3 linked regions of the Schizosaccharomyces pombe genome follow. The protein of the gene in region 2 binds, or shares a complex with, the protein of the main gene of each other region. Each region holds a gene or a part of one and is shown on either strand. Other genes may lie near its edges. The genes, in order: mrpl51, mrpl22 and mrpl16.

Region 1 (3,689 bases), on a different chromosome or scaffold from region 2:
TTCGTTAGCCTCGCGTCAAGATTTACTTTACCGAATTCGGGATAAGCTTTTAGTATCCTATGCCCGGAAGGCAAATTGTGATACCATTGTTTTTGGTGATAGCGGTACTACAATTGCTGCAAGAGTTCTTGAACTTGTGGCAGAGGGTCGAGGTTTTGCGATACCATGGTACACTTCTGTCTGCTCTAAGCTTCCAAATTGCGATACTTTCCTACTACGTCCCCTACGTGAAGTTTTGTCTTCAGACCTCAAGTCGTATATGAACATTAAGGGATTAGCTTTCTGCGATAGCTTAATTGAAGCACGTCCTAATACTATTCATGGCGTTACAGAATCATATTTCTCATCGCTGAATGATACATTCCCAAGTCTGGTTAGCACCGTTGTCAAAATGAGCTCAAAATTGCATGTGCCTTCTACAGAAGCCATATGTACCATCTGTAATCTACCAATGCAAGAAGATGCTGAGACTTGGTTACAAAAAACTACGGTTGAACATCCGGATTCCGTTGAAGGTATTAAGAATCAAAATGTTTGCTATGGCTGTTCTGTTTCTTTAAAAAGCTTAAAAGGGACGTTGCATATTCCTGATATTGAAAAAGAAGGGATTTGATACATCTGTACACTTACTACCTGGTTAACTAGAGTATTTATGGGAAGATAAATTTGGATAGGGTTTTGTATTTCGGACAAAAAGGTTAGACATAATAACATAACGAAAATGATTAAATTGAATTTTCTTTTTTTTGTATGAAATAATAAGTAGTTTGTAGAGGAATCTAAGGGGACTTTTTCTTATAAATTTCATGGGGCTTTGCTTGATCGGAAAATGGACTCCAAATACCACGAACGGATGGGTTTGTTGACTCAACAGGATATTTTATGAGGCGAGGTTTCAAACCATCACTATCTCTGCATAGAATTGCTTTTTGAAATATTGAAGACGCTGACATTTTCCTTGTACAAATGACCTTCTCTCGACCAGTATCTATTATCGTAGCATTAGTAAAAAACACTATTTTAAGGAGTTCATATTTATAAAACTAAGAGGATCACCATAATAAGAGAAAAGTCTTGGACGTACTGTAATAAGCTCGGATTAATGGATGCTTGCCTTGGCGGTTTGTAACATGAAATTCCACATCTTGAGATTCTTTGGCCAAAGACTCAAGCTTTGTGGATAAAAATTCTTTCATGCCTTTTGAGCTTCCACCCCAATTACAATACGAAAACTCAATTCGACGGCACTAAAAAGAAAATTAGTAATACGAAGTTAATGAAGGCCAATCTTTTTTTTTTTTTTTTTTTTAAAAAAAAAGAAAGCTGATTAAATCTTACTGGGCGGGTAAATGAACCTAGTCCATTTTTGGGAATTGAAATTTTAGGAATGATTTCAATCATCATTAAGTGAGTAAAAGGCCGTAAAAAAGGGGATACCGTCTTTTAAAAACCAGAATTCTTAATATGCTATATTGAAAAAAGTTGGGTGAGCAAATCCTTGCAGAAATAATGAAAAGTCGGTATGGAGACGTAAAGGGGTGTGTGGAAATTCGCAAATCCCAAATTGCTCTAAACTTCAATACTTGTTCCAATTGATTTAGAATGTTAAACTTAGTATGCAATTAGTTTTATAAAAAATTTTAGCAACAAAATCAAGTTTACTGTCTACCTACAGTTTCTGGTTACACACTTTGCAATACTTTACCTTTCTGCTCTTCTCTAAATAATGATATCTAGAAAGTTTACAGTGATTTTTTAACGTAGTACATGGACTGCGAACAAACATAATATAGGTTTTTTAAAACGAACAATTTTGATTTAATATCATTCATTTATGCAGAGATATCCTTTTCTGAAAGAGCAAAGTTGTATCGGTTCTTGTACTCGAAGTTCTTCAGCCTAGATATTTGTCAACATAGCAAATTAATACAGTAAGCAACACCACTAATATCATTTCTAAAATAATGGCTGAATTTCTGATTTGAATATCTAAGGAATTTCATTTCATGAAGCTTTATTTATCCCTCCTAAATGAACAGAATAGCAAGAAAATATATTTCACCAGTATAGCATAAGAAACTACTGTGCATTTTGTAATAATTTATTTAATGCATTCTAATACACCTTCGTTCATATACAGTACGATCGACCCTATCCTTATCTTGGCTATATCAAGGTTCAGTATGCCGCACTAGTGCATCAGCCAGCCTATCGATGTTTATTTACTGTCCGCCACTGTATGGAAGTTGTCGTTTCCCTATCCGAATTTAATAAAAATTTTGTAAAGAAATTGATCTAAAGCGTTAGTTACTTAGTCTATACTAGACGGTTCCTTACAAAAAAATTTGACATTTTTCATAGTTGATGTAGATAACTTAGGAAAATCAACAGAATGTCGTTTCGTGTAAAGGGATGGAGTGATCAGTTCTCTGAGTCATTCTATGAGCGAGCAACCACTTTGCTTACGGCTGCTTTAAACAAAGGCACTAAACACTCGATGATTGCAGACCACATCACTGTAAAAGAGTTGGATTTGGGTCCCCAACCTCCTCAACTGGAAATTTTAGAGGTTGGCGACTTAGCGCCAGACCGCTTTCAGGGCCTCTTTAATCTCCATTATTCGGGTGATGCTTCTTTGGTCTTGCAAACAAAAATTCGTGCCAATCCATTATCGGTGCAAAAAAGTAATGTTCCCAGTTTTAGTTCTCGTAATACAATGTTAGCATCTCGTGCACCGCTTACTGTGCCTATGTTTTTACGACTTTCCGACTTAAAGCTTAACGGAATAGTTGTTTTGGTGTTTTCAAAGCAGAAAGGTATCACTGTGGTATTTCGAAACGATCCTTTAGAATCCGTGCGTGTATCTTCCTCCTTTGATTCTATTCCTGCTATTGCTCGCTTTTTACAAAGAGAAATCGAGGTGCAACTGGTCTCCCTGTTTCAGGAAGAACTTCCTTCCATCATATACAAAATGTCAAGAATTTGGTTTGCCAAGTCCGACTCTAATCTATCTTTTCAAAAAATTCCTTTCACTTCTCCTAACCAATCTCATACTTCTCTGGCTAATTATAACCCAGATTTGCTAGATGGTCCTCCCGACTATCATGAATCTACGAAAGTCGACACTCATCTCCCAATTAAAATGGGCCCATTGGATGTCCAAACGCATCCTAACATTCGATCTATTGCTTCTTTAGCCTTATCCAGAAAAGCACTACTTCCTATTTCTTCTCCTTCAATACCTATGTCCATATACCGGTCAACTCCTCCCGATACGATTATACAGCAATTGACTACTCAATCTGATGATATTTCTGCTGTATCTTCCCCTGCAACCCAATATTCCGCATCAGACTATCTTGGTTCAAATGACACCACGGCTAGGCCATCCATTTTTGGTCGTAGTCATGGTACCTCACAATTCCGCCGCCGAGAACGTGTCAAGAAAAGACATGTAATTAAAATTCATGAAGCATCAAACAAGTCTGCTTCCTCTTCCGAAACTTTTGTTGGTTCTAAAAACGTTGACCTTACTGAATCTGCGTTTGATTCCATACCTGATACTCCTACAAAGATTATTACCAACATTAATAAACTTAAAAGGAATTATACCATCACTAACAACTGGTTGGAAAACCTGCAGCAAAAGATTCCGTCCGAGGTTGATAACGGAAAAGTATCTGGCCTTC
Region 2 (3,617 bases):
TATTTCCAAACATTCTTAAATGAAAACACTGATTTTCTCTAAATTAATTTTTACCCACAGTTTAAAAAAAAAAACTCATTGTTGTGGTTCAAGTTAATATAGTTGATACATTTACTATCTCAACTTATTTTTTCATTATGGCCCATTAAAAAGAATTACTGTCTATTTGATGCGGTTTGTTTCCTTTTTTTTCCTACTGATCATTTGCTACTGCAAATGAGTTAAAATGCGGATCCAGCGTACCTTTACACCTAATAATTGGGGAATTAATGATATTTTATACTCGGTTTGCTTGATTGTTTAAAAGTGTCTGATGAATTTAGAACCAATAAATATGTGTCAAAATGGTGAAGAGATATGGATAGCTTCAACATATGGTCCAAAGCACGTTTTGAAAAGTCAAAAAAAGAAGCTCGTTGCAATGCTTCAAACCAAATTTGAAAAATGTTAATGAGGCAAACGATTGCATGAATGATTTAATAAGATTAGACAGTTTAAAAAGAATTGCGTTCTTTACGAAAACGTATCATTGAACTAAAAGTGATGTATGTACAGGTTGGTTAGTTTACCTTTTTACAGTACTATTTTTCTACTGATACCATCAGCACCATAGAGGTAAATACAAAATTATGGCGTTGCTAAAGAAATAAATAATAAGGGAAACCATATTCTCATAAAAAAAAAACGGCACTAGAATTACTATAAACGATATTGGGGGGAAATATTATTAGAGTATCAAAGATATGGGCATCTCAATAATGACTTAGCAAGTGAAAAAGTTAGATTTTAGGTATATTGGTCGGTTAGGCAGAGGCGTCCAAACTTTCTTTCTTTCTAGTCTTTGTTGACGACGCTGTAAATCGCGCAAGAGAGCTCGCTCATCTCTTAAAACAACAGTAACTCGAACCCGTGGAGATCTCTCAATGGCACGACCTCCACGGCCCATAGTGATAAGTTTCTTTAAATACTTTGCCTTTCCAACCCATATTTGATCAACGTAGAGAGTACTCTCATCAAGACCAGCTTCACGAACAGCGTTTTCTCGAGCAGAAACCAAAGCAGTTGCGATGTACTTGGAAATTTTTTTATCTGACATTTTCATTTGAAGTAAAGCATGATAAAATGGCTTATGGGCAATTTGACGACACAAAGCGCCGACTTTCTTTAAAGAGGAGCGAAGCACCATTGATTGTAAGGTGTAGGAAGGATCCATGGTCTCCTGTTTTTTGAAAGAAATACGTGACCTTGGTCTCTCTTTTACACGCTCTTCCTTTTGCTGACGATTAGAATCGTCCTTCTGGTTAGCAAGCATTGAGAAAATGTCGGACCCTTTTTGCGAACCCAAATTTGCAGGATTTTGTGCAGACTCCCTTAAGTAGGATCCATTTGAAAATTCTCTAACAAAAGAAAGTAATGGAAATTTGTAATGGTACGTTTTAGAATTCAATCCTATCGTGGACGATGGAACTAAAAAGCCCTTTGATATTTTCATAAATTGATTAATGTATTTCATAATTAAATCTTAAAAATTTTTTCCCAAATATTCCTTCCACACATAGAAGTCAACGTTTTCGACTAATTTGAGCAAATGCGCTTTCTCAATGTTGTAACAAAACCAGGTAAATATTACATGCCAAGGTGGTACTAATAGGAATTGCAACCTAACGAATTGCTAACTGTACTATGTTATAGGTCAGTTAGCATTTCCCTCCTTATACAGTTATAAAAATCTTAAATGAGAGAGCTCACTATCACTATGCAAGCTACTCAGTTTGTAAATCTATTTCAAGGATGGATAAACTACGATAAGGTAACTTTACAACGATGTTAACACATGCTTACATGCTTTATGCTGGCACACTAAGCTGCACATTGCGGGTATTATCTGAACGCGTTAAATGCATGGTCACGTAAAGACAGAAAACGGCCCTTGGCAGTAAACAAACAACCCATTTGTATGTTAGACAAATAATATTAGAGACAGGTGCAGAGACTGTACATGAATTGTTATTTATGATATCTTTTAGCTTCTTTGGGGAGGACGAGATTAATATTACGACCTAGTGGGCGCGTACTGAGATATTTTAGTACAATAACCTTTTGAAATTTTTTGGATATTATCCTTTTCTTTTTTATTATGGAACAAGTACAAGATGAAATTTGGAAGTTAAGTACGCTGGACGCCTGGGAAATGGTGAACAAAAATACAGAAGTTGTGTTTGATGAAATCCCCGAGCCAGAAACTTTAAGTGAAATGAAAAGACACCCATTGTATAGCAACATCTTTAACGCCGATAATAATACTACGAGTTTCACAGAACAAATCGAGACTTCTGAAACCTCCAAAACCCAAGACTCGGAGGGGAACAAAGTTGATAAAAATTTAAAAGAAAACAAGTCAATACGTCGTAAGAGAAGCATTGACAACGATTATGAATTGAGTAATGTAAAGAGAAATGATATAACATCGGGAAAAAATAGAGAATTCGAAAACGAACACCATCCCGCAAGCGATACTTCTTCTTGGCGGGAACTACCATCAATTCCAACGTTGGAAGAATTGACGTCAAAGAGTGTTGAATTACCTTCAAACAACATATACGGAGGATACAAGTCCTTTGAAGATTACTTATCTATACACTATCGGTTGCTACGTGAGGACGCAGTTTCCCCATTACGAGAAAGTGTGCTTCGGTACAAGGTAAACCCCAATTACATTACCGGCTCTTCGTTAGCCGTATATGATCATGTGCGGATAGATGGCTATACAATATCTTCCAGTGTTATAGCTGCAAAATTATCCTTCAGTGTTCGCGCTAAGAAAAAAATAAAATGGGCTACCAGTCGTCGTCTTATCAGTGGATCTTTAGTTTTATTAAGCAATGATGATTTCCAGACTTTTCGCATTGGAACTGTCTGTGCGCGGCCCTTGAGTGGCCTTAATAAACATCCTCATGAAATAGATGTCAAATTTGAAGATATTAGTATCTCTTTAGATCCTCGAGAAGAATATGTTATGATCGAAGCTACTTCAGGCTATTGGGAAGCTTACAAGCATGTTCTTCGTTCATTACAGAGGCTTTCTGCTAGCACATTCCCGATGAAGGATTACTTGGTACACTGTAAAAGTAATCAGGAGACTGCTAAACACATACAAAATAATCCTAGGATACGCATAAATTCTATCTTAAAAAATAACTCTCAAAAAATCGTAAATGCTCTTGAGCCGTTCGGTCCTGGCGAGTATATACTAGACTCGTCACAGTTAAAAGCTTACCAGTCCATGCTGACTAAGAGACTCTCCATTATTCAAGGCCCTCCAGGGACTGGTAAAAGCTTTGTTACTCTTAAAGCCATAGAAACATTACTTGAGAATACTCACTCCCATGTTCTTCCGATTTTAGTAGCTTGCCAAACGAATCATGCAGTCGATCAAATATTGATTCGTTTATTGCATCAAGGCGCTTCAGTAATGCGACTAGGTTCAAGAACGAAGGATCCTGAGATTGCAGCGGTTACGATTTTTCAAAAAGCAAAGCACACCAAGCATTCATTTAAGGCTGCTTATAATGAGATTCGTCACAAAAAGCAACGCTTAATCAAGCAAATAACTAATA
Region 3 (3,756 bases), on a different chromosome or scaffold from region 2:
GTCTCAGTACCATTAGCTTCGGACACAGACATGTTGATGACTTTAAAATGCAAAAAAAGGAAAAGGAAAAGCGAATTTTCTAAAATGAATTAAGTATAAATATATAAATTATACAATTCAACAACTTATTGTCCCGAAACCTGTTAGCTTTGAATTTTTTAAGCTAAATCTTTTATCACTGTAGAGGAGACAACTAAGAGCAAGGATGCACGTATGTATGAATTTCAAAAAATTCGACCCTACCCTATTTATTTACTGAAAGAAACAGTCACTACCAACTCGTAGGCAACCGCGGTAATTTATGGTAGAAAATTGATTTACAGATCCCGATCGATCTTGATGAGATTTAATCAGATCTATGGTAGTAATGATTAAGTTACTGATCCACTCAACAGTGGATTGCTAAGCTAGGTTCTAGAAGGTATAGTGATTTTTTTTGTAAACGTTGTAAATATTTTAGTGGAGTTGATTTGAATAATTTCATTCGTAATTCCATAGTAAAATCAGTTTCATATTATTTAAAGTGTACTTTTTGATTCACTTCATGATTTCGCACATATACAACGTGCCGTTTTTTACATCCCGAAAAAAAGTCCCCAACGGAGCAGAGAGCAGCAAATAAGATTTTCGCCAAAAACACTCATTACCGTTACCAACTTTTCAGGACCAAAGAAATTTGATGTTTTAACGAAATTGCCGAGCCGTAATCAAAGTGAATCAAAAGTGGTTCATATTTCGCCAACAAAAATTAAGCAACTCTCTCATTGGGGATGAAAGTTCCCATTTCGAAAATAGATAATGAAACATAGCGCAAAATGTACAATGTTTTAAGGCATTTCTGGCAAATTTCATTCACTAAAACATAGAATAACTACAACGATTGAAAAGAAGCTCATGAATGTCTGTACAAAGATGCAGCATTAAGTTCACAAACTAAGTAAGTGAGAAGTATGACAGAAAAGTAATTATTGAATGGGTTAAAAATAGATAAATTCAGCTTAACTTTTCCCTTAAACAGCTGTAGTAGTACTGGTAATTTCCTGATAGTTCATTTTGCTTGTCTCGGTGGTAATGGGGGTTTCATGAATCAGTGTGGTACCCAATCTTTTGGGGGTTTGCTTGACGATAATCTCATACTTGCCTGGAAGGTGAAAAGCGGCTTGCTTCAATGCATGCTCAGCTAACTCTTTACGCATTCCATCACCACCAATTTCAAAAAGTACACGACCGATTGGTATCCGTGCAGCCCAGTATTCAAAAGCTCCTTTGCCTTTGCCCATACGAGTTTCATTTCCTTTTACGCATACTGGCACATTGCAACAAAAACGTGTGTATACCCGAGCAGCCTTGATAGGTTTTAATATACGCTTGAGAATCTGTTCGGCAGTTTCGAGTTGCTTGGCATGAAATCTTATACTTCGATCTTTTAATCGCATACCATATTCTCCCCATTCAAGTTGAGTACCACGTAGTGAACCTCCTATGGGTATAGGGACTCTTCCTTTCTGAGCTTTTTGGTTTCTGATGCTTCTGGGTGCATACTGGTGTCCCCAACGAACCATCGTTTGGATAGGCGGCATTTGTAAACCATTCAACCTCGTAGGTCCTAAAATACCAGAAAAAAAGAAAGGAAATTTATTGTATTGTTGTAAAGCCATATTATATAAGTTTTTATGTTGTGAGGGTTTCAAAAAGTCATAAAACAACGTGTTTTTATTATCATGCAAAAGTCGTTCTTTAAAGTTACTCAGAAATATTCAAAATAATCAAATTTAAGTATTATATTTCTTTTTTTATGGGAAAATGGTAACAATAGTAACGATAATAGGCCTGCTATTTTTTGTATGAGAAGGGGGTTAAAGGATACTTGGATTCTGTATGTGTTGCTGCCACTTATCCTAACTAAGTTCCGGGAAGAAGCCGGACAATAACTGAACATTAGCTATAATTATTTATTTGTTTGTTTATTAGTTTGTAAAAAAAAAAAAAAAAATTATCTTAAGCATTAGGCAAAAAAGATTATTTTCATAGATACTGAATTTAACGTGCGTTTTATGCTCAACACATTATTTGATTCAGCATCATCATTTCAATGACAACAATGCGTGAATAGAAATAAAACAGTGACTATTTTAGCTATTTCAAATAATATACTTAGCTCATTTCTTGTCAAGGAATTCTTGTCCTTGAAGAATAACAAAACGTTCAACTGTTTAGTGCCTCAGTATTGGTATTTGGAATGTTAAGACTGTCTTAAAAAAATCTTCTGATGTACGTTTATAAACCATTAGAAGGATCCTCTATCGAGCTAAACATTATTGTATGGACAATCGAACGTAAGAATGCCAAGCGCAACTCTTTTGTCCCCTGTAGCAAGAACTTGCTCACATCATGATTATAAAAAAAACAAAAAATGGGATTAGGAAATTATGAAGGATCTGCTAAAATCTTGCGCATTGATCTACGTATCGCGGGAAAAGAAGAATTGTTCTGCAAAGCGTGAATAGCCTGATATTCCCAGTTTTCTAACGTCTTTTGAGCAGCTTCCTTCTTTAATGAATTTGTATATGATTGGGATAAAGACGCTGTTCTCGTAGAAAACGTCGACGAAGAACTAGTTGTTGACATACTTTAATAAATATTCCGAATGGACACAACCTTGAAGACTTGCCAATTCGAATTTCTCTGATTTTACTGATTCTTGCTGTAAAAAGTCTTAAAAAATTCCAATAAGCTATAACACGCTTGATTGTTCAAGCAAAGGATTTGAGTTATTTGTAGAAATAGAAATGTGCTTACTCGCCATAGTTATGAACATCGCCATGTTAGTCTAGGTCTCGAAGAGAAATCGTTATTTCATGTTACGTATAACATCAAAGTTCGTTATTGATTATTTCTTATATCATTACATCATATACCTTTGTAATGCTTAACTGTAAAGTAAGCTTATTTACAGTACGAAGCAGTTAGCAAAAGAGAAGTACATTTTTATAAAATCAATCATGCGTAAATGGATTAAATTCGGGTTTCACAGTAATAATTTATCATTTTTTGAAGCTCTAACCCCTACGGTTCAACTATTTACAATCTAATCTCGACCTTAAAAAAACAAATATGCCTCAATAAAAAAAAAAAATTTCTTACATTTAGCCGGTTTTTATTTTTAAAGATAAATAGTATCAATATTAAAAGCACTTGATTGCGAGACATGAATTACAAAATGTATAATATTCAATTTCATTAGCTCGTATAGCGATTTTGCGTTTAAGAAACTTCGAAAAGGTTTTTTTAAAAAAATTAAAATAAAAACAAAGAAAAATCAAATAAGCTCATCAGTTGCAATCGGGTATTAAAAATAGAGCAACAAGTTAAAATGAAGGAATAAAAGCAAATTACTCATTAGGTAAGGGATCCAAACTCAACAAAAAGAAAATTAAAACTACTAAAATACAAACCAAAAACAAAAAAGTCAAATATGCACAACGAATACAGACATTAGGTGCTTCTCAAACGAGAAAGATTCACGTTACCACCCCTTGCCTCAAGGAGCTTCTGATAATTTAATAGACTAATCGTGATTGCAGGATTTCCATCGGGTTGTTGAGCTTCATAGTTTAGCAAAAGCTCGATCGCCTTCATAGCGTCTTTAGTGGTAATCTGGAATTCAGTAGATTCTTCTTCGTCCGTCTCGAAAGCGCGATCATCCATGTACTGCGAAGCAATTTGATTGATTATATCCTCAGAGGAATCAACAAT

What was found.
Region 1: mrpl22 (region 2) and mrpl51 share a complex: the UniProt entries of both Schizosaccharomyces pombe proteins name them as parts of the mitochondrial large ribosomal subunit.
Region 3: mrpl22 (region 2) and mrpl16 share a complex: the UniProt entries of both Schizosaccharomyces pombe proteins name them as parts of the mitochondrial large ribosomal subunit.

What each region holds. Positions count from the first base shown.
Region 1 is NC_003423.3:1,697,797-1,701,485, reverse strand, and holds mrpl51 (mitochondrial 54S ribosomal protein mL43), read right to left. Parts: upstream 1,554-3,689; 5' UTR 1,405-1,553; coding exon 1,339-1,404; exon of another isoform or gene 1,248-1,338; coding exon 1,085-1,247; exon of another isoform or gene 989-1,084; coding exon 780-988; 3' UTR 614-779; downstream 1-613. Other genes in the region: cytosolic thiouridylase subunit Ctu2, read left to right, coding at 1-613; protein Mdm34, read left to right, coding at 2,393-3,689. UniProt on the Schizosaccharomyces pombe protein: Component of the mitochondrial ribosome (mitoribosome), a dedicated translation machinery responsible for the synthesis of mitochondrial genome-encoded proteins, including at least some of the essential transmembrane subunits of the mitochondrial respiratory chain.
Region 2 is NC_003421.2:2,027,518-2,031,134, forward strand, and holds mrpl22 (mitochondrial 54S ribosomal protein uL22m), read right to left. Parts: upstream 1,618-3,617; 5' UTR 1,514-1,617; coding exon 764-1,513; 3' UTR 657-763; downstream 1-656. Other genes in the region: helicase Hrr1, read left to right, coding at 2,138-3,617. UniProt on the Schizosaccharomyces pombe protein: Component of the mitochondrial ribosome (mitoribosome), a dedicated translation machinery responsible for the synthesis of mitochondrial genome-encoded proteins, including at least some of the essential transmembrane subunits of the mitochondrial respiratory chain.
Region 3 is NC_003423.3:3,507,276-3,511,031, forward strand, and holds mrpl16 (mitochondrial 54S ribosomal protein uL16m), read right to left. Parts: upstream 1,859-3,756; 5' UTR 1,659-1,858; coding exon 1,011-1,658; 3' UTR 248-1,010; downstream 1-247. Other genes in the region: lys4 (homocitrate synthase), read right to left, coding at 1-32; protein tam12, read right to left, coding at 2,428-2,628; ARS-binding protein Cbp1, read right to left, coding at 3,496-3,756. UniProt on the Schizosaccharomyces pombe protein: Component of the mitochondrial ribosome (mitoribosome), a dedicated translation machinery responsible for the synthesis of mitochondrial genome-encoded proteins, including at least some of the essential transmembrane subunits of the mitochondrial respiratory chain.